3 linked regions of the Pelodiscus sinensis genome follow. The protein of the gene in region 1 interacts with the protein of each later gene in a pairwise test. Links are inferred from orthologs where the notes say so. Each region holds a gene or a part of one and is shown on either strand. Other genes may lie near its edges.

Region 1 (7,883 bases):
CGGGCACGACCAGCAGGTGCAGGCGGACAGCAGAGCAGCTGGTGGGGACGACCTGTGGCCGGTAGGAGCGGCAGCAGCCAGCCAGTGGAGCAGCTGCAAGAGCAACCAGCTGGCGGCCAGGGGCGTGGACCGAGACGGCTGGCAGAGCCAGACAGTTCGTGGGACAGCTGAGGCGGCTCACTGGACGACAGGTGGAGTGTGGTGGAGTGACTCGCGTTGATGGTGGCGGCAGAACCTTACGGAGAGGCAGAGCCATCGGCGGACCACGTAAGGTGTGTCAATCCCCACCCCTCCAGGTTGGGATGGTAAAACTCAGCCAGGTGAACTTTTGAACCCTGGGGCAGCACTGACCCGGGGCAGAGACTTTTGGGGTGTTGGACTTTGGGTGATTTTTTTGGGTTGCTGGACTTAAGAGACTCTTTGGGTGTTGGACTTTTGGGACTTTGGGTGATTTGGGGCTGGGAGAAGGGTCTCTGCTCATGTTTGGTCTATGAATCTGAGTTGTGGTGTTTTCCCAAGTTAATGCTGATGTTGGTTACCTCATGTTATTAAAGGTTTGCTGCTATACTGAGGCTCTGTGCTTGCGAGAGGGGAAGAACTGCCTCTTTGAGGCGCCCAGAGATGTATGTAAGATTTCCCAGGTCACTAGGTGGGGACTTGAGCTGGTGTTGTATTACCTTGTTGGGATGAGACCCCTAGATACTGAACCCAGCCCTCGCTGCTATTAATTCGGCCTGGCAAAAGGGTTACACTAATATCTATCATTAGCCCCAATAAAAACATAATACATTGCTTCTCTTTCCCAGTTCTCCCAAATACTGTACTTGTTTTTAATTATCTTTAATGACATGACCATTTCATTAATTTTAATGAAATTCACACAGGCTTTCCCAGTCATCTTAATACATCATATTTCATAGTGCTAACCTGTTATAGGATACAATGCACAATTGTCTTTCATACAAACTGCATCCCACAAAGCTTCTTAAATAACGAGAGCCAGAGGCTCCCTAAAGTTAGGATATAGTTACAAAGTCCAAGTAAAAAAATATTACTGAAAGATACGGAAATGAATAATCAAAGACAAGGAAGGAAAGATATATTCTAGAAGAAATCTGAAAATTGGAGAAGATTGATGGAGCAGAAGAATACAGAAACCTTTTGCTTCTAGGATAATTTATGAATATCTGTGTTATATCAGCTGTCAAATTATGCAAATTGCAGATAAACAAATATCAAGTTGCTATTTAAATAATGTGCAGATTCAAAGCCCTAGGAAAAAAAATTACAAAACCCATGAATTGCATGTGCAATTTTTTAAATGATTTTTTCCTACATTTTACTAAAAAGATGATGGTATAGATTCTCCTTATCCCCTGGTCATGTATAAATACACAACATCAACATAATTGGATGTACACATAGACCTGTATCTATTCCCAGTAAAGTCAATAGCAAAAGTGCATTTACTTCAATGGAAGCAGGTTCTAGTGAATCATAGAATCCCAGGGCTGGAAGAAACCTCAGGAGGTCATTGAGTCCAGTTCCCTGCCCAAAGCAGAACCAATTCCAACTAAATTATCCCAGCCAGGACTTCGTCAAGCTGGGACTTAAAAACCACTAGGATGGAGATTCAACCACCTCATCCAGGTCACTAATAAAGATGTTGAATAAAACAATTCCTAGAACCGATCGTTGAGGCACTCCGCTAGAAACCGACTGCCACCCTGACATTGAGCCGTTGATCACTACCCATTGGGCCCGACAGTCTATCCAACTTTTTATCCATCTTACTATCTGTTTATCCAATCCATACTGCCTTAACTTGCTGGCAAGAATATTGTGGGAGACCGTATCAAAAGCTTTGCTAAAGTATCATAAGGTTACAATGATTTAAATCAACAAACTGTATTGGTCTGTATCCCACAATCCTCTGTAACCAATAAAGTAATTTGTTAATAAAAAGGAACAAACAGGAGGGTGGAACAGATGCTAGATAGAAGCACTACTGGTATTGTGCAGGGGTAATTTGCAGTTGCTGTAATGTGAGGTTACTGCTGGTCCTATTTTTTTCTTGACTTATTCATATGAGTTGTCCCATTGCTTCCAATTAAACTACACATACAACTAAGACAAGTAGAACTGGCCCTGCAAAGCACCTATTATTCATATTCTGTGTTACTATTCTTAGGTAGTTATTCTGGCAAGGTGCCTGTTAATGTGGAAGACTGGAAAAAATAAAGTACTCAGTGAAGCTCACCTACAAAAATAATGGTTCCAGAAGAAAAGTTGCAGACATAGTATTAAGTCCTTATGAGTAAATATTTTCCTGTCATTCCATATCCAGTTTTACAGAGACCAAATATTCTGGGGAAAACACCACCACCAATTCAATAATACTTCATGCTTCGAGTATTTCATGAGAAAATGCTATGTTTCATACATATCTTTTTGTTTAGAAAAATTTACATTTCAGTTTTAATATTTATGGTTTAGACTACACAAAGCATTTGGTTTTATCTATTTGAGGAAAATTTGTCATATATTTTGCCTTTCTTCCATTTTAGAAAGGGACATTGATTCTTTTGACCACAAAGTTCACCTTAAAATCTGATCTGATACTTTATTCCCCTCCCTCCATTTCTCTTTTTGTAAAGGGCATCTTTATTTGTAAATTGTTTCTATTAAAGAAAATGAGAGAAAATCAAGTTGTTGCTTACTGTTCAAAATCACTCCATCTACCTTTTCATAAGTGTGACATTTTGTTCAAATCCAATATGACACACAGTATGGCTTTTGGGATACACCTTTACCACTGCTTTCTGCTCTCACAGCTAACAGGCAAAAGTAAAAGTATTTAAAGATTACTTTAAATCGTTCCATCTACTGATCACATTCTGGATACAAGTATTTTTAGTGTTTACTTCTTCTTTATGACAAAAAATCACATCAGAAAACCTCAGCCATAGCAAAACAAGTTCACATTTGTGCAAGATTTAGGACTGCTGTGCAACAGTGAACATTCTTAATTTTCCAATAGCTTTTTGTTGAGTCTGACATTTTAAAGTCAAAAAACAAAACACAAAATAATTTACTGTTTGTTCTCCTTTATGAGGTATGATAGCCGAATAAGTACTTTTGGGAGGCAGAAGTTGGCTTTTTTGTTTCTTTAACTCATGTCTTCCTTACATCTTTTTCCTAGAAGACTCTGGGAAAATGAGAGAGCTGGAAATGAGAGAGCTGTTTCACGCAGTGATTCCAAGTCCTCAAAAAACAGTTCTGTCCTCCAGTTTAAAAAATAAGTAAGTCACATCATGATACTGTAGTTTAAATTTTCCTTTTGATCACAATGGTGCAATGAATCCCACTGACATCAGGATTGTATCATTTTAATTGAGAAGAAAATTTTGCTGTTTTTTAGCAGAAAAGAAGCTACTACAGAGTTCAAATTACTATAAACATTAAAAACAAAAACAAATAAAAGCCCACTATCAAGAGGTCAGTTTATTATATATATTAAAAACTAACAAACATAACCCCACTATGAAAAGGTCAATTTATTCTAAATATTACAAACAATAACAAAAAAAACCAGGTGCTTTCTTTTTTGTGATATCTGTACAAATAAGATTGTAAATTCTGTGGGTGGAGACTTTAATAAAATCTTGTATCTGTGAAGTATTATGCACATCTTGGACATTTTCTAGTAAGGTTTTATACTGTTACCCATCACTGAAATATGTGAATGTCTTCCATTTAAAATCAATAGCAATACTGAAAACCTGATTAGAATGTATGATGTCTCTGAGTCATCTCCTTTTTTGGGGGATCTGCTTGGGGGTATGGTTTTTGTTTAGATTTTTTTAAAGAAACAATTAAATTCCTCTTTTGAATGTTTTGATTAGCAGATGTTTAGGAATCAAAGAGATGGAAGTGCTGTGAGTGTCATTCTTGTGGCTGAGAGTCTATTTTTAAAGAGGAAATAATTTATTCTTCTATCATTACTTTGAAAATGAAAAATGGGATCAGACAGCATGTGTTGAACATGCTTTTCCTTGCCAGCATAGACCTAGATATGTTAAAATCACTTTAGGTCCATTTACTAGGTTGGTTTCCAACTGTGGCCTTGTCTTCAGTGGAAAACTAGCCATTATCCTGAAGCCATTTTTTACAAAAGAGTTTCACAAAATCCTGCAAAACCCCAACAAAGAGGTTGTGTTAGCCAGTGCTAGTTCATGTCGAGATGGGTGATGGAGAACTTTTTTTTTTAAATGATACTCTGGAGTATTATTTAACCAGACGCTGTTTACAAGGGTGGAATATGAATCCAATGTATAGGTCTTTACAAAACAGATGCAATTACCTGGCTAGATGGGCATGTCTCTGCATAGCTACCTCTTTCAATGCAAGCTCTAAACATGACAGAGGATAGCATATCCAAATGTAAAATGTAAATCTCCTTCCCTCATTTTCTCTGGCTGCCTTAACATGTCTGTTAGCATGTTCTGCAAATGATAAAACAACGACGAAAGAAGAACCCTCGTTTATACGAAATGACAATTGCTCTAATTCTGCTCCGGGAGGCTATGGGGGGAGGAAGGCTGCACAGGATCTGGGCTGCGCGGGCTGTAAAGCCCTTGGCATCGTATCGATCTGGACAGCTGAGTTTGTCTGCAAAGCCTCCGGCGCCCTATGGCTTTCTAGCCAGGGCGTCTGGATCCCCAAGGGCAGCCCGCGGGTGGGCAGGGCACGGAGAGGCCCGCTGTTCCGCACGCCCTGCAGGCAGCCCGCGGGGGAGAGGCCACGCGCGGAGGGGAGGCACCTCACTCCAAGCGGCTACTTTTCCGCCACCTCGCTAGCGCTGCTACTGTGCGTCTCTGCGGCTGCCTCCGCAGCTCCTCCTCCCGGGGCTCTGGGTGTCGCTGGGCCGGGTGTCTCCAGAGGAGGGCCTTGCCCGGATGTACTACACTGACTCATAATCCAATCGACACAGGCAGCGAGACACACACACTCGCTGCGCTGAGCTGCGCCCGCTTCACTCTCCGCCTCCCGTCCCCGACAGCAGCGGCAGGGCTGGCCGGGCCCCGGAACGCGCGCAGCCCTCCCCCTGCCGCCGCCTGCCCAGGGGCTGCTCCTGCCGCCGGCCGGCCGGCTCGCTGCCGCAGCCGCCCCGCCCCAGGACCCTGCTGCTCCCGCCTGTCCCCCCCCGGCCGCTGGACTGAGGCGCAGGCGGCAGCTGCCCCTAGCAGGACCCAGAGAGCGGCTCCCCTCCCGGCAGGAGCATGGGTAAGTCGCCTTCCTTCAGCCCCCCCAAAGTTATGCCCTATGCGCCCTGTGCTGCAGCACCCGGGAGGCGGGAGGGCCTGGGCCCCGTGATGCCCAAGCAAGTCCGCGGCTCCTCTTCCCATCCCCCTTCCCCGCTCCCTGGCTTCCGTGCGGCTCCCTGTTTTGCATCCTCTCCCCCGTCGCACTGCTCCTGTTTCTCCCAAGGCCGGCCCCTTCCTCCCCCTCCCTCTGTGGCGGGCCGGTGGGAGGAGGAGGAGGTGGAGGAAGACGACTTCATGCAACTTCCTCAGCCGCTCTGGTGTTTCCCCTGGCGGCCGAGGAGGCTCAGGGTGCAGTTTGCTTTGGCAAGGGCTGTGCATGCTCGGCAGGGAATGCGGGGACTGGGATGGGGAGCCATCTCCACCCAGCCTGGGGGTGAACCAGGCGAGTGAAAACACACCAGTCCCTGCAGGAGGCAGCGACTTGCTCCATGCTGGACTAGCGGGGGGTTTACAGGGTGTGTTTTTCCTGGGCTGAGCTCCGTCTTTTGATCACTTCAGGGATAGAGAAAGGGGTGAGGTAGCAGGAAGCTGAAAATAGTCAGGGCACCTTATTTCTGAACTTAAATCAGCGGGTTTCCTTCTGTTCTGAAATGACAGTGCAAAGTTTCTGCAGGCTCGTGTGATACTGCCAGTTCAACCGTCCTGCTGGCCTTAGGTAGGCTGAATGTCAATTTTAATAAAGGCAATGCACTCAAATATAAGTTGCCTTACAGTTTATGGATACAGATTTCTTAGGTGGAAATCAAATTCTCTAAGTATCAAAAGGAGATTTGGAGCAAGTAGTCAAATAGTTCATTCAACAGACTGAGTTTCGCCTCTTCTGTTTGTGTCCTAGACAGCTGGATAATACATTACATAGACTACTTATGTTCCAGTCTTACCTCTGGTGTTCCTCTGCATGGAACCACAAAGATCTTCATTTTTACCCTGCCCCATGATTTTTAAATCACCACGTGTCTTGTGAAGAACTGCAGTCATGTTATCTGGCTGTTAATTCCAAAATCTTATTTGCTAATGGAGACCTCCAAAACAAACACACAATGAGCTAGAAAGGAGTGCTTTCTTATAGCCCAATGGTATGAGTGCTGAGGACACTATAATATACCTCATTGGGTTTCATCAGGAATTAAAGACAAAGCATCTCTCCCATAGAGGCAATGATAGTGCACTCTAATAGTTTAAATGCAGGCTAAGAAGTCAGCAATTCCTGAAGTCATAATCCTAGATCTGACACTTACTTCTGCTGCTGCCTTAGATGAGTAACTGGTTTCTTTTGAGCCCATATACATCTTTTTGCCATTTAGTAAATGAAGATTTCCATAGATAGTAACAAACTCTATATTTTAGTTTCCTTGTCTGTAAAACAAGGATATTGCTTACCGGCCTTTCAGGGCAGTTGTGAAGATTGTCACTTTTATAAAGTGTTTGGAGGAAGAAACCCTCAGAAGCAGGTACTGAACTTTTTCTTGGACATTGTGATAGGGTTCTAGAAGTCTCCCATTTAGTTGAGATGAAAGGACAACTCCTTGACAACTAACTAGGAGATATTTAAGGACACTGGTCATTCCTACTTTTGTGATCAATGTCATAATCAAATTGCTAGTACAGAATGAATGCTGCATTGTACTCTACAAAAGGTTCCATTCCAGTGGTGGGTGAGTTTGTAAATTGCTCATGAAATCTTTCTAGCCAAAATTATTACATTAGCAGAGATAAGATGACTAGGAGGGTTTCCATTCAGTGTCTGTCAAGGATGCTCCTTAATTGTCCAATGCTTGTCTGTATTTCCGCAGTGTTGATTTCCCGGTAAATCAATCTCCCCGGGTTCAATTTAGGGGCTCTAGTACATAAATCAATCACTGATGGCGCCCCCATCGACTCTGGTACTCTACGGAATCTTAAGGAGTAAGGGGCGTTGACGAGAGACAATCTCCCACAGTGGAGATGCCATGGAAACTGGACCTAAGGTATGTCGACTCCAGCTACCCTATCATATAGCTGGAGTTGTGTATCTTAGGTCAACTTTTTTCTTTAGTGTAGACCTGACCTGTCCAGAGAGATTACTGTTGACTAATACAAGAAATGCCCTGCTCTTATTTTTCCCCATCCCTGCACGCATCTGGACCGTATTCTTCTGCCATTTAGGCCAGTGGCCAACTTATAACCTCCTCTGTAGCAGCTCTTGTTGTTCTGAAGAGCCAGTGACCACAAACAGAATCTTCCCACAGCCAGCTAGAGGTTTTCTGTTAATTTTTTTTAATAGCAAACATGACAACTTTGAATGTTTAGAGTCTCTTGATTTTGTGAGCTTAATCATTGTAGTTGCTGTCCCTGCTCAGCTCCAGCATGCTCTCCTACTTTTATTTGTGCAATGCATAACTATTGGAAAGCCTCAGAAAGTAAGTATTGAGGATGAATTTTTGCAACACTAAAAATATCTTCTTCAAGCTGCTATTAACTTGGTAAATCATACTTAAAAATCAAGTATTTGCGGCAAAGAGAACTCAGAGTGTTTCATGATTTAACATACTGAATATTCTACACTTAATAAGCAGG
Region 2 (7,776 bases), on another chromosome or scaffold:
ATAACTCTTCCATTAATGTTGCCTGGTGTATTACCGTTTTCACAACTGTATCCTATTCCGGATCACACATTGCATGAGGCAACAGCAATCCCTTGATCCTTTTCAGCATTGCTACCACTTAGCCCAGGGGTGGGCAATAACTTTTGATGGGGGCCTCTCCAAGAATTTGGTAAGTGGTCAAAGGCTGCACTTTTCCATTGTATTAATGGAGGATGTACAGGATTTGGGATGGAGGTTGGGTGCAGAAGAGAGCTTAGGGTTAAGGGATTGGGATGCAGGGGGGAGTTTGGGAGGAGGAGGAGGTTGTGACCTAGGTCAGAAGACGGGTATGGCTGCAGGAGAAGATTTTGACCTGGATGAGGCGTGTAAGGGGGTGCAAGAATATGGGTAAAGGCACAAGAGTACAGAGGGGGTGGGCTACATTTAGTATGAGTTCAGAGAGGTGGTGGAGGGAGGGGCTGGGATGTAAGAAGCAGGCTCTGGCCAGGAGGCACTTACCTGTGTGGCTCCTGGCCAGCAGCCCTGCCCAGAAGGTTCATCAGCCAGCTGGGGGCCAGATGTGCTGCTCTGAATGCTGTGAGCCCAGGGGGAGGGAGCGGGGGTATGTCACAAGCCTTTGGTCTAGCAAATAGGCAGCTCCCACTGGATGGTTTCGGCCAATAAGAGCTATAAGGTTATGTGGGGGCAGGAGCAGCATTCCAAGCCTTTCTCCTCCCCTGGGCTCCCAGGGTTTGTTCAGAAAATACTTTGTACTTGGATCTTTTGAATGTAATGATGTAATTGGATCTCTTTAAGTTCAGAACCTCTCATTTGTCAAGGTTTGGAATACCCCTCCTAGCTTGGTGTCACCTGCAAATGTTATAAACATACTGTCCACTCCAGTCTCCAAGTCCTCAGTGAAAATACTAAATGAAAGCAGATGGAGGACTGACTTCTGCAGGGCTCAGTTTAGTGGAACAGTGACTCATTAACTACTCCTGAGCATAATCTTTCAACCAGTTGTACATCTGCCTTCTAGTAATTTGATCTAGATCATATTTTCCTAATTTTGTTTATGCTAATATCGTGCAGCAGTGTCAAATGGCTTACTAAAATCCAAAAGGAGGCTGGGATGCAGCTTGCCAGACCTTAACTGCTATTCCCTGCAGGAGAGGGCTGAAAATCAAGTAAGCACTGCATAGACATGAAGAGAAGTCCTCAAACTGGTAAACTCTCTTCGGGGTGGAGGGAGCATATCTAGATCACCTTCAAACACCAGGGCTGTGGCACCCTCAGAGATTGACCCAGAGCCATCTGCCTGCCACTTTTGCCATTAGTCCAGGGATCCGTGAGCCAGATGCTGACAGACAGCATGGCAGTTGTGCATTATGACAAGAAGGAGCAGGCCATCTCCACTGGTATTGAGAGATGAGGCAAGATACATGATTGATCATGTTAGCCCAGGCTTTAGTTGGGCAGTTCTGGCATTAAGACCCTAGTCAGCTTTTTACCATAGCCCCATCACCTCGCTGGCCTTGCCAACAGTCTTGGGAAACAGTGGTCAGATCTCTGAAGTTGAGAATATTCTGCTTCCGAACAGGAAAGCCTTAACTAGACTGGCTTGTAAAATAACTTCACAATTGGGGCTTCCCAGCCCACCGCCTCCTGTTGCCCTTGACTGTTCATTTCAGCACAAGTGGGTGGACTGCTAGCTAGCCCTGATATTGCAAAGTATTTCTGGTTCCATCTTGCAGCCGTATCTGCACGTCGTCCTCCTATCTGGGGACACCCTGTGCTTTGCCAACCTGCAAAGCCTAGTTTATTTTAAACTTGCATCTTTCTGTCCCCCATGGTCTCTCCCTTGAGGACTGCCCCTATTTCTAAAATCTGTAGAATAAGTACATGGAGCTCGGTCCACTCACTTACAATATGCTGTTCCTTAGGACAGGCCTCCAAATGGGATGGGTGCTTTGACAGGGCTGTCCTACAGCTCTTTGCTAAGCAGGAGTCCGACTGCTCACTGCTAAGGAAACACAATTTTTGGTTTGTCTGCCTGAATGCCACTTTTGGTGACTCAGTCTCTGAGAAGTGTTTCTTACTGTGCTGTAACTGGCTCTTATGTCTTGTCCACGTGGGTTCCCAACACATTGTCCTGCTCCGCTATTGTGGAGTCCGATTCCTCTGGGATTCTGTAGTGTTGAAGGAATTGGGGATGCTTGTGCCTGCTTGGCTCTGTATTTGACATGGGGATGTGAGAACATTAGGGTGCAGTAGTGGCCTCAGTAGACTGCTGGCTAAAAGAATCTGATCCTGTTTGCATTGGCCACATATGCACCAAGAGCGGAATGGGTGTGGTCAACCAATCCCAGGTTGCATTACTGTATATTGCTAAATGCTGATTAAGGCAAAATTGTTTGTAACTTGTTCATTTAAATGTAAAATCAAGACTTTGAGTCTTGCTGTGTTTGCCACAAGCCACTCAAGCTGCTGATCCAGGAAGAACTTCACCGAGTGCCCACTTTGGTCTAACGTAGAATTAATCCAAATTTGGAAGTGGATAGGTAGCTACTACCTCAGCTGGCAGGTGATGCTGTCTCTAAGGCTGTCTACACTGCGGGTGTTTTGTGGAGGAGGAAATGCAAATGGAGTGCTCATTTGCATATATTTCGATCCTTTTTGCAGAAGAGGTTTTTGCGAGTAAAAATCCCTGTGTGGATGGGGCCATTTGTCAGGGGAAAAAACCCTTTTGCGCAAGAGCCTTTATTCTTCAAAAAAAGGCTCTTGCGCAAAAGGGTTTTTTTCTGACAAATGGCCCCATCTACACAGGGCTTTTTAATTGCAATAACTTCTGCAAAAAGGATTTGAAGATATGCAAATGAGAGCATGAGTGTGCAAATGAGTGCTCCATTTGCATTTCTTCTGCAGAACACCCACAGTGTACATGGAGCCTAAGAGTGACACACAGATTGCGAGGCAGAAAAATGTACTTTCCTGCAACATTTAAAATTCCTCTAGAGAAATTGTGTTCTAATGAGAATTTATTCTCAATAATACACCTAGGAGAAAGGGGAAAGAGCTGGAGCCTCAGCTCACTACATTTCCTTAGAACTTTTGTTAGCAGGGAGACATGTAGGGGAGCCCAGTATGCTCAATTCTCACCCTGGGAGGTCTTTAGAGTGGATTCTTCAAAGTTCAAGGCAATGGTATAGAATATAGTGGCTAGGTAAAACAGAGTGTGTGTGCATAGGGAACCATGGGAGCTTGGTGCTGCTTCTTAGGATTTCTGAAGAGCCAGTTTAGCCCCCCAATACCAACAGGGTATCCTGTTAGAAACAACATGAAGAGTGGCCTACACATGGAGAAATTGAGAGAATGGTATATATCCATCTGTTAACCATACCCATTACTTCACATTGCAGTTGCCTAATGCTGTTTTATGTCATTACAGGGATTTGTTGCAGAGAGAAAGATTCGTCAAGCTGGTGTTATTGACTAGCAGAACCATAAAGCACATAACTAAGTAGGATGATGCGATGGGAGCTGGTGAAGGGTACTGAATATCTCCCTATTCATCCCTTCCAAATTCTAAGAAGCTATTATACCAGTTTAACACCTTCCTCATGTTATGTTTAAAAAATAAATTTATGAAACCATTTTAAAATTATGCACAGTTGCATCCTGGAGACTTAAGGTGGCGCCTTATAGTATCACTTGTTAGACGCTTTTTGAATGGTGCATTTAACGCAACTGGTAACTGCAAATCTACATTGCCTATGTAAGTGAACATTATAGACAGTTCTACTGCGGTAGACCTTATGAAATTCTGCACTAAAAGGATGTATACTCTATCCTCATTATTTCTGCCAAGGTGTTACTATGCCTTAGCTCTCAGTTGCATTATCTTCCCCTCCATGTGGGAGGCTCACTTCAAGTTCAGCTTGAATTTGAAGGACCATATGAGGGTGGACTAGATAAACTTTTTTATATAAATCTGTATGAGCATTCAGATAACTTTTTAAGTTGACGGCCAAATGTTACATATGTTTTCATATCTCATTTAAACTTGAGTCCATGTAGCAAAGTTCTGTTAAAGCTCAGTGAAAGTACCTTCCAGAGTAGTAGATCTGTTTTGTAACTCTGCAATTAGTAGGCACAGTGCAGAATTTCAGAAGGATGAGGTGTGCCATCTGTGTGGTAACTTAAATATATAAAACAATGCACAGATTTTGCTGCTGCTTAGAACTCTGCAGCTTCTAAACCCAGTTTCTTTTACTGATTTAAATTTAAAAATTGTGCCTGAAGTGAATACATTTTTCTTTTTGCAGCCAGCACCCAGTGTACTGTAAAAGAATAAATACTTAGGCTTTCCATAGCTGTATTGAGACTTTCATCAAGGTGAAATAGTTGATGTCTGTGTGCTCTTTTTCTCCCCCCCTCCCCCCCATTCTTCCCCAGTCACACTTTATCAAGCAAGAAAACTGAATGATTGGTCTAAGTATTACTTTAACCAAAAAGATCAGGAGTTATTTTCTTGGAATAGAGGGCAGTCCTGTGGTTTGTTTTTCGGTTTTTTCATATGACCTCTATTCTCAGTTTAGGGTTTTTCTTCTCTGGGAGATGCATTATCTTTGTGAAACAAACATTTGCTTTCTCCGATTTCTGTTAATGGCAAAGAATGGAAATAGAATAAAGTTTTACTGATTTTGAAAAACGCCTCCCGCTTGGTGCCTCCCCCCGCGCGCAGCGCAAGCTCAGACGGGGGCCGGGCCCGGCTCCTTCCGGCGGGGGGGATGGGGGGGGGGGGCGGAAGGCGGAAGGCCGGTCCCGGGCCGGGCCGGGGCCATGACCGAGTACAAGCTGGTGGTGGTGGGGGCCGGGGGCGTGGGCAAGAGCGCGCTGACCATCCAGCTCATCCAGAACCACTTCGTGGACGAGTACGACCCCACCATCGAGGTGAGGGGCGGCCCTGAACTGCGCCCCCCCGGCCCGCGGGGCCTCCCTCTGCCGACGGGCCCGGCTCGCCCCTGCAGGGACGGTCCGCGCTGCACGGAGCCCCCCGCCGGCACCGCCTGGCTGCTCCCCTAGGCCCCCGCAGCGATTGACGTGGGGCTCTGAGCAGCGGACCCGAGTGGCTGGGCTGCTGCAGGAGGGCGCCGCCTCGCGGATCCTGCCGGGCTGCGGGCTGGGACCGGCCTAGGGCACAGCTACTCGGCACGTGGCCCCGGGGGGCTCAATCCGGGCCCGCGAGGCCCCTCCCAGCGGGGTGAGCACTGGCAGAGGGCACAGGGTGTCGCGTTTCTAGTCCCTGGGCAGAAGGTGCCAGGAGCGCCAGGACTTTGTGGGACGTGCTGGCTGCTTAGCCTTGTGGGCAGAGCCTGAGAGATGCCGACTGGCTCGCACTGGCCACGGTTGGGTCCAGCGCTTGCACGTAAGGCTTAATCTTTGCACTCGTGCCCGTCAGTGTGAAAGAAGCTATTTGCATATATATTTGCATGTACATGCAACCACACTTAAGTTGTGGCTCCCAGCATGTGCTGTGAGTGTCACTGTGGCCCCCGGGGCTCCAAAGTTGAGTAGCCCTGACCTAAGGTAAAGTTGACTTCTGGCCAGAGCCTGCTTCCTGTGCCTCAGCCCCTCCCACTTGCTAACTCCATTCCCCAGGTCATCACCCAAATCCTCTGCACACACATCCTGCCCCAGGTCACAATTCCCTCCCAGATCCTGCACCCCAATCCCCTGTCCCCAGCTCCCTTCTGCACCCAACCTCCATTCCAAACCCCACAGCCCCTCCATAGAAAAGTGCAGCCCCTTGATCACTTTCCAAAATCTTGGCCTAGTACCCCCATCAAAAAGTATTGCCCACCCCTGCCCTACAGCAGCAGTGGGGTAGGAGGCAGCATTTTGCTTTTCCAGAGGTGAATGGCCTTTCTCACATGTCCATTAAGGTCTCTAGCAATATGCCCTGCACTCCAAATGTTTACTTACAACGTTTGAGGGAGCAGAGCAAGCTGTGGAACTGCGGCCAGCTTTACGCTGTGCACTAGGAAATGCCTCCTGAATAGAGGCAGAGGTAAGGTGCAGCAGCAGCCGTAGCACCAAGTCTTGTCTTAGTTTTCGAAGTTGTGTTTGTATCTCCCTCAGGATTCCTACCGGAAGCAGGTAGTTATTGATGGTGAGACCTGCTTGCTAGACATTCTGGATACTGCAGGGCAGGAGGAGTACAGCGCTATGCGGGACCAGTACATGAGAACTGGCGAAGGCTTCCTCTGTGTCTTTGCCATTAATAACAGCAAATCATTTGCCGATATCAATCTCTACAGGTACGTTTTGCACTTTGGGAGAAAGCCTTTCTTAGGTTTATTTTGGAGAGAGAAGGCTGGAAGGGTGCAATCTTCAACTGGCATTGAGCATATTCACCCACGCAGTTAGTGGAGACCAAACAAGCAAGACAATCAGTCATCTTCACATAAGTGCTGCAGAAATGCCATCCAGCACACTGAGCTTCAGAATATCTTGTGAAGTCCCACTCAGAGTATGAGTGGCGCACAGTGGTCCTTGTGCAGAACAAATCGCTTGTGTGCACCAATATGGAGATCAAGGAGATTGGAGAACAGGAGAGGGCTCAGGGTGGGACAGCGGGGGTGAGAGCTCTGACTGGGAGTGCAGGCTCTGGGGTGGAGCTGGGGATGCTGGCTTTGGGTTTGTGGGGCCAGCTGCCCTTGGGAAAGAGGGCTACCCCCAGCCCAAAGATCCATCTAGCCCAGTAGCCTGTCTGCCGACAGTGGCCAGCACCGGATGGACCGAAGTCAATGATCAAGCGATTTGTCTCCTGCCATCCCTCTCCAGCCTCTGACAGACAGACGCCAGGGACACCATTTTATCCCCTGGCTAATAGCCTTTTGTGGACCTAACCTCCATGAAATTATCTAGCTTCTCTGTAAACTCTGTTATAGTCCTAGCCTTCACAGCCTCCTCTGGCAAGGCTGGCGTGGGGCTGGGGCTCCCCCAGCTACAGCAAGTTCAGGGTAGGTCCGTGCTGGAGTCAGCGGGGAGAGGTGCCTCTCCCCACTATAGCCCTGAGCCCCTGCACAGGGCTTAACAAGCAGCTGCACAGCTTAGAGGGAATTTGAGTGCTTCATAAATAGTCAGCAAGTGGAGACTGGAATAGCCACCAAGATATTGTTGAAGATGCAGTAATGGTTCAGTGGCATGGAATACAGGATACACCTCGCATAGTAGCGAAGGGGGTGCACATCAGGGTGAATCCACAGATGGGCCACGTTTCTGCTAAGATGCACGCCTGCACAACCATGCACAACAAAATTCTTCTCTGCCCACCGCCTCAGGAGAGCCACGCAGCCGGAGGGGCTGGCTAAGATGATGTGGTGAGAGTGCCGCTGGGGTAGGGGACCAGGACCTGCTGTGGCGGGGGTTGGCCTGCTCCAGTGGCCAGGGCTGCCATGTGGCAGGGGGTACCAGGGCCTGTTCTGGTGGCTGGGCTGGGAACGGGACATGCCGCATGGCGGGCTCGGTGTCTGCTCCAGCAGCCGGGAATGGGACATGCTGCAGGGCCAGGTGGGGTCTGCTCCAGCAACTGGGAACATGTGTATTAATAAATTGGGTGCCACGGTGGCACACATCCAAGCCAGCACACGCAACCTCAGTATTGGCGCACAAGCCACAACTCTCCGCTCACGGTTGGAAATCTGAGAGGAAACACTGCTGGTGGGGTAAGGAGAGTGGATTAGGGACTAAGCTCTGTGAGGGCCTTTCCAGCCCTAATGTCTACTTTGTAAT
Region 3 (6,940 bases), on another chromosome or scaffold:
TGCAGTATAGATGCTCTGCAAGTTTTTGCGCAAGAACACGTGTTCTTGCGCAAAAAGCCTGCAGTGTAGACGTAGCCGAATTTTTTTTATTATTAATAGTACAGCAGGTTAGAGGTTCCAAGTAGGGGCCCATTGTCCTAGGAACCTTATGAATATATGAGAGTGTCCCTGCTCCAAAGAGCTTATGGTCTACTCTCCTTGTTATTAATACCTTATGTAGTTTTTAAACCACCTTCTTGCTCTCTATTTGCCTACAGCTGGCCTCTCCACTGATCCCTTCACCTGATCTAGACTTGCTTTGTGCATTTCCTCCCTCAGTTGCTCCTGCTGCCTGGAATGGCCTTTCACTGGCTCCCCAACTCTTTCCCCATACTCTTGTCCCTCAAAGGGGTGCCCTCCGCACTTAGTTGGGCAAGGGGTCATGCCTGGTAGGTAGCTTCAAAACAGGCCCCTCTTTGTAATAATGCAGTACAAGTTGGACCTCTCTGGTCCAGCATCCTTGGGACCTGACCAGTCCCGGACAAGGGAGTTTGCCGGGCCAAGGGAGGTCTGGGAGAGGAGGGTGCTAGCCTCCCTGCTGGGCTCCTCTCCCCTACCTCCCTGTCCCGTGAACTGCAGCAGCCCTGCCAACCCACCAGAACTCGCAGCAGCCCCACCGCCCTGCTGGAGCTCGCGGCAGCCCTGCTAGAACTCATGGGGGCCCCCAACTCCCCGCTGGAGGCCGCAGTGACCCCGCCAGAGCTTGTTTACATATACTGCTCCTTGAGTTCCTCCCACTCCCTTCCGTCCCTCCCCGCTTCCCTGCCCCGCCAGCTGCAAGCTCTGGTGTCCCAGGGGATCTGCTGACGCAGGCTCTGCTCTTAGCCACCAGCAACCTCTGCTGCTGGGGCTCTCTAGTCCTGCAACATCCATGGTCCTTCAGGAGACCAGAGAGTCCTGGACCACAGAGGTTCAACCTGTATTTTCCTTTTAGCTCCAGTGCTTGCATATCTTTGTTTTCCTGGTCTTTCTTCAGTCTGGCTGCCGTGACTCAGCAATCCCAGCAGCTGTTCCTGACCACAGGAGTCTGGCAACACTGTATGCTTCTTCGTGGGATCCACAAGGGTGCCCGCATCATGAGCTGTTGGCTCAACATTACGAAGAGGCTTTCCCCAGGTTTCTCCCAAACAGAAGGACAGTTCCTTCTTCTTAGCAACACAGCCCAAAGGCAGAGTAAATAAAACAGCATCCGTTCAGAAGGCTGCTTAATGGAAGGAAATGGGATGTTGCAGACCAGAAAACTAGGCATCAGAAGACCTAAGTTCTGTTCCCAGCTCTGACACTGACTTCTTGCATAGGATGGGGCATGTCACTCACACTTCCCTGATCCGGTAGGGATATGATGAGGCTGAAGAAGTCAAAGTCTGTGATGTTCATGGGAGGGGCTACAGAAATGCTCATTGCAGCGCTGCACTTGGTTGCTAGATATTGTATTTGCACTTTAGAGCTCAAAGCTATCGGAGAGAGCAGTAACTTGAGATCCTAGGGTAGGGCTCAGCCTTTATTAGCAGACAGGTTGCTTCTTAACCTGAAGGACAGGCTCTTTCTAAGCCCCCCAGTCACAGGATGCAATATGTGCACACAGTGCACATACCATACAGACTCAGTAGGCGGCCATAACTCAGCACAGTGCATGCTGAGAACAGTGTTGTGATGGCCAAGAGCACAACATGGTTTAAAAAAGATCTAGATAAATTCATGGAGGGGAGGTCAGTCTATTAGCCTCTGTCTGCCTGAAGCTGGGAACAGGTGACAGTGGATGAATCACTTGATGATTCCCTTTTCTGTTCATTCCCTCTGGGACACCTGGCATTGGCCATTGTCAAAAGTCAAAACTACTAGGCTAGATGGACCCAGTGTGGACTGGCCTGATCCCACATGACAGTTCTTATCCTTAAGCCTGCCCCACATCACCACTGCCAGCTAGGGATTTCCTCCCAAGTTCCCTCAACCTGTTCTGCTTGATGATAAGAGTTTAACTGGTTAACCAATGAGCCACTAGTTAAACTCCTGGCCACCCTGGGGAGCCTGCGGGTCTAGAGGCACCACATGCAGGGCCAGCAGTGCCAGCGGCCTCTGGGAGCCCAGAGGGTTAAGCTCACAGAAGCGTTTAACCATGTAACTGATTGAATTTCAGTCGATTACATGGTAAGGCTACATCTACACTGCACGCTTTTTGCGCAAGAACGGTTTTGCACAAGAGTTCTTGTGCAAAAGGTCTTGCACAAGAGCACTTGTGCAAAAGGTCTTGAACAAGAGCACGTCCACACTGCCATGTGCTTTTGCGCAAGAGATGTGCTTTTGCACAAGAGCGTCCATGGCAGTGTGGATGCTCTCTTGTGCAAGAAAGCTCTGTTGGCCGTTTTAGCCACAGGGGTTTCTTGTGCAAGAAAGCCCTGCTGCCCGTCCACACTGCCTTCTTGCGCAAGAGGGCTTATTCCTCGTGGGGTAAGGAATAACTCTGGTGCAAGAAGCCCTCTGTTCCGATGCTGTACTGTAAATTTACTTGCACAAGAATGTGTGTGCAGTGTAGACGCTCTGCCAGTTTTGACGCAAGAACACAAAAAGCCTGCAGTGTACACACAGCCTTACTGTTTTAATTTTTGTTTGTTTGTTTTTTTACAATTCTACTTGGCGGCATGATATCGTCTCAGGGAAGCGGTGGACACCCCATATCTCAGGACTTTCAAAGCCAAATTGGACAAAGCACCAGGAGATATACAGTATTGTGGGAAACAAGCCTGCCCAGGCCTGAGCATGCTGTGCCTGTCTGTCTCCTGTCCATCCTAGTGGCATGGGGGCCTGGCCGCTAGTGGCTGTCACTGACCTATTATCCCCACTTCAAAGAGAATCCTCTGAACTGTCATTCATGCTTAAATTCGACACTTTACATGCAAATTTGAATAAAGACGCTAATTATCTTACCCATTACAAAGATAGCTTCCCCAATTATCACCTCTAATATCATTAGCTCACAGACATTTACCTCCCCCTCTTCCCCCCCATCCCCCTTCTGTTCTGAAATTTGATTTGTCCTTTTCATATGTGTTCATTTTTGTTAATTGTACCCTTTGGTATATATGGTTGTGACAATTTTCTTCCACTATTTGATCTGAGGAAGTGGGTCTGGCCCACGAAAGCTCATCACCTAATAAACCATCTTGTTAGTCTTTAAAGTGCTACATTGTCCTGTTTTTTGTTTCAGCTGCACCAGACTAACAGGGCTACATTTCTATCACTATTCTATTATCCCCACACACTGAGCTCTCTCCCCGATGGGCTGCTGCCTGGGGCAGCGCCTGTCTGCTCAGCGCCCCCCCTGGGCTGAGGGCTGCTCTCCCCTCCCCAAAGCCCTGGGCAGGCGGGCGTGCAAGCGCGTGTCTTTCCCGAGCCGCACGAGGCCACCAGCGCAGCCTCTGCTAATGAGCTGAAGCGCCACTAAAAATAGACCAGGCTGCCTGGGAAGGTCCCGGCGGAGCCTGGTTCCAGCTGCTTCTGCGGGCCATGCCCCCCACGGCTCCTAGACAGCCCTGCCCGGGCCTGTCCCGCTGCAAGCCCCCCATGCAGCGCTCGCAGAGGGGGGGCCAGGGAAGCAAGCCCCGCTGTGGGAACAGGGCTACCAGCCTGACCCGCTCCCGGCGCCTGCAAAACAACCAGCCTGTCGGAATGAACCAGAGCTGCCCCTCCTTTGCATCCTGGGGGCTGTAGTTCCGGCGTGGATTACCCTGCCTAGGCAGCCCGCCGGCTGCAAACTACAACTCCCAGCGTGCTGTGCGAGCCGAGCTCCAGCCGGGAGGGGGGCGGGGTGCGCGTTCCTGTCTCGGGGGGGTCACCCGGCTGGCCCCCGCGTCACAGAGGCAGGGGTTCTAGCGGCGGCGCGCGACAGGGTCCTGCTTATCTCCAGGTAAAGGATGCGCCGAGCTGGGTGCTGTGGGGGTAGGGTGCGCGCACCATACTGCTATGCTGGCTGTAAGTGTGCCCGGATGGCATGGGATTTGTTTGGCACCAGCAGGTGGGGGCGGAGGGTTAGCAGGTGGGTTGTGCACAGGAGTTTCCCGTGCCCGGCGTCAGCACGTGTGTCCAGTGAAATTTGCACATCAGAGGGATGTTTCCACCCCAGGACAGTCAACAGGTGATGTGTCTCGAGGGAGGGAGGCAGGCAACCCCAAGCGCTGGCCAGGGCGGGGTATGATTTAGAGATGCGTGTGGCTGTTTTGTAAGGCTGTACGAGGAAGCATGTATAGCTGTGGTGGGGGATTTATGAACTGTGTGTATTTGTACATAAACACTGAAATATGTGACACTACTTGGGGTGTTCCTTTGGCTCCCAGACTGTAGAGAATGTTCATACCTACATACTGATGGAAAAAAGTCTCAGAGGGGTAGCCGTGTGAGTCTGCAACTTTTAAAAACAAATAGTCCTTTGGCACCTTAAAGACTAACCTATAACATATTCTCTTCGTATATATCGTGTGCTTTCATGGGCAAAACCCACTTCTTCAGATGTGCTTGAGTGGAGAAAACTGGTGGTTAGTAAAATCTCTTATTTACCCCTCCAAAAGGACTGAAAATGTGGTGTGCTTCAAAGAAGCGGGTATATTCCTATCTGTTACCCCCACTGTTTGCCTGTTGCAGCCAGCAGGGTGGTTAAGCTCCAGAACAAACTGCCAACAGAGGTTATGGAATCTGTCACTGGAGGTTTATAAGAACAGGTTACACAAACACTTGTCAGGAATGCTCTAGTTATTACATAGTCCTGCCATGAGTGCAAGGGACTGGATTAGATTACCTCTCCAGGTCCTTTCCAATGCTACACTTCTATGATTCTATGGGTTTTATGCATTAATGCCTTATTAAGCTCTAGTCAAAACTAATTTTCACTGTTCTGCATCAGTTGTTTGCTTGTCTCCAATCACTATGGAAAATAACCAATGCCTTTGGGAGTTATTGCCTGTGTTTGCAGGTATGTTCTGGATTTCTCCATTTACATACACAGGAGAGCTGCTAATCCCTAAATCCCAATACAATTAATGGTGCAAAAAAAGGTAGCTGAAATTTTTCCCCTCCTCAATTCGTATGACACAGATAATTAAATACTGCCGCTCTCTGATCCAGATTAGCTCTTAAAAAGACCAAAAAGACTTTGAAAATAAAGTTGATAGGAGAAACCCGTGTGTGGGAAACGCCGTAATTAAAATGAGCAGCTTCGGGGAAAAATGCTTATTGGAATGGGGATGACAAGAATCTGATGTGGTTGTTAATTTTGACTCCCTGCTTTTGATGTCCTTGCCTTGATAGGTTTGGTAAGGCGTTTTAAAATAATGGCGCTGATGAAGAGCGGCTGGCTTTGGAGACAAAGTAAGTTCAGAATGTAATTTAGTAATGTCATGCCAAAAAAAAGGTCTCTCTACAAGTGGGGAGGGTTGCATTGGACTGGCTTTTCCTGGCTGTGTTCTCTTTGTTGGAGGGATTTGGGGACAGCTTTTTTCTTCACACACTTTGGGTCGCAGGCTGACAGGGCCAGCCTTAGGGAAGATGGTGCCCTACGTGAACTGGTGTTTTGATGCTCCTAACCCCTGTGGACATAGCACCACCCAGTTCCCCTGGCACCCAGTGGCTCCCCAACATGGCGCCTCCCTCCCATGCTCTCTTAATTACTAACTTCATTGTGCCTCCATTACCCCCTAACCTCCACAGTACCTCCTTCATCCCAACCCCTGCACTTGTCTCCCACCCATACCCTTAACCCAGGCCCTGCACTTCCAGCATGCCTCGTCACACTGTCTTCCTGTCTAGTACCCTCAACCCCTTTTACCTAGCAACACACATGCCCAGTTGTCCCTCACCCTCTGGCTATGGTGCCCTGGGTATGGGCTCAGTTTGCCCAGCCCTAAGGCTGGCCCTGCTGGTTGATATGCTTATCATGTGCACAGCCTGGATCCTGAGCGCTTAAACATTGCCAGGTAACTCTCTGGCCACAGGATAGTGCAGGACTGGGATCTTAGCGTTTCCCTAAGTACATAAGAACCTGATAGCAGACAATCCTGTCTCTGTTGATAGAGATCTCCTAAAATATATGTTCTAGTCCAATCACAAGTTACTGGGCTCAGTGTATGAATTATTGAGAGTAATTGGTCTGTGTTATGCAAGAGTCAAGCTAGATGGCCCCATCTGGCCTTACAAATCTGGGCTCGTCTTTCTGTTTGGACATGTGACTTCCCAGACTGCATTATGCTTCCTGAACAGCAGTGACATGAAGGCTATGCCTGGGGTGCCCTTCTGCACCTGTCACACGAATTCTGATTGCTCTGGGCCTGGAAATTACTGCAACAGCACAAGGCTGCCACAAGCACAAGCTAATTAATGGCTTTGTTGACATTACTTCATGGTAAGAATCTCTGGGCTCGATTTTGTCCCCTTATTTGCATTTGGTGATTGAATTCTTCACCCTAGTCAATGAGACTCCTTGGGCAAGTAATTCATCATTTCAGGTGAATCAAGGGTTAACAGGCAGGCCTCAGAGTAGGTTTTGCTGTCCCTCCTAGCAGCCTGCTCTGTGATAGCTGAGTATGTGACAAATTTGCTGTGATTGCTGATTTGGGGCAGGTTTTATTTTTAAAGCTCCCACTAGGGGCCCAGATTAAAACTTTTTGGCTTTCCCTATTTGAACTATATTGTGCCGGATTCACCTCTGCTGTGCTTTGTGCAATCACATACCACTAGGTGTGAAACAGCCTTTCTGATCTGGCAGCACCTTCCATTCATTTTTTCCCAGCTGTAAAGGGGAAAAGCAGTGGAGAATCAGACTCTGAGTGCCCCCAAGTGCCCTGGGGTCTTTAAATACAGAAGCAAAGATGAACAGGACTGTGCCCCAAAGAGCTTACAGTAAAAGCAGACATGA

Evidence for each region.
Region 2: the proteins of RAP1GDS1 (region 1) and NRAS interact in binary tests that used the Homo sapiens proteins (3 or more experiments, as listed by UniProt). The link is inferred for Pelodiscus sinensis from reciprocal best matches to the Homo sapiens genes RAP1GDS1 and NRAS.
Region 3: the proteins of RAP1GDS1 (region 1) and PLEKHB1 interact in binary tests that used the Homo sapiens proteins (3 or more experiments, as listed by UniProt). The two-hybrid records come from large-scale screens. The link is inferred for Pelodiscus sinensis from reciprocal best matches to the Homo sapiens genes RAP1GDS1 and PLEKHB1.

Annotation. Positions count from the first base shown.
Region 1 is NC_134715.1:22,177,848-22,185,730, forward strand, and holds the start of RAP1GDS1 (rap1 GTPase-GDP dissociation stimulator 1), read left to right. Parts: upstream 1-4,869; 5' UTR 4,870-5,282; coding exon 5,283-5,286; intron 5,287-7,883. UniProt on the Homo sapiens protein: Acts as a GEF (guanine nucleotide exchange factor) for the Rho family of small GTP-binding proteins (G proteins) that stimulates the dissociation of GDP to enable subsequent binding of GTP.
Region 2 is NC_134737.1:648,878-656,653, forward strand, and holds the start of NRAS (GTPase NRas), read left to right. Parts: upstream 1-4,771; 5' UTR 4,772-4,821; coding exon 4,822-4,932; intron 4,933-6,120; coding exon 6,121-6,299; intron 6,300-7,776. Other genes in the region: CSDE1 (cold shock domain-containing protein E1), read left to right, coding at 3,428-3,475. UniProt on the Homo sapiens protein: Ras proteins bind GDP/GTP and possess intrinsic GTPase activity.
Region 3 is NC_134711.1:321,731,449-321,738,388, forward strand, and holds the start of PLEKHB1 (pleckstrin homology domain-containing family B member 1), read left to right. Parts: upstream 1-3,935; 5' UTR 3,936-3,950; coding exon 3,951-4,008; intron 4,009-4,086; exon of another isoform or gene 4,087-4,171; intron 4,172-5,337; coding exon 5,338-5,397; intron 5,398-6,940.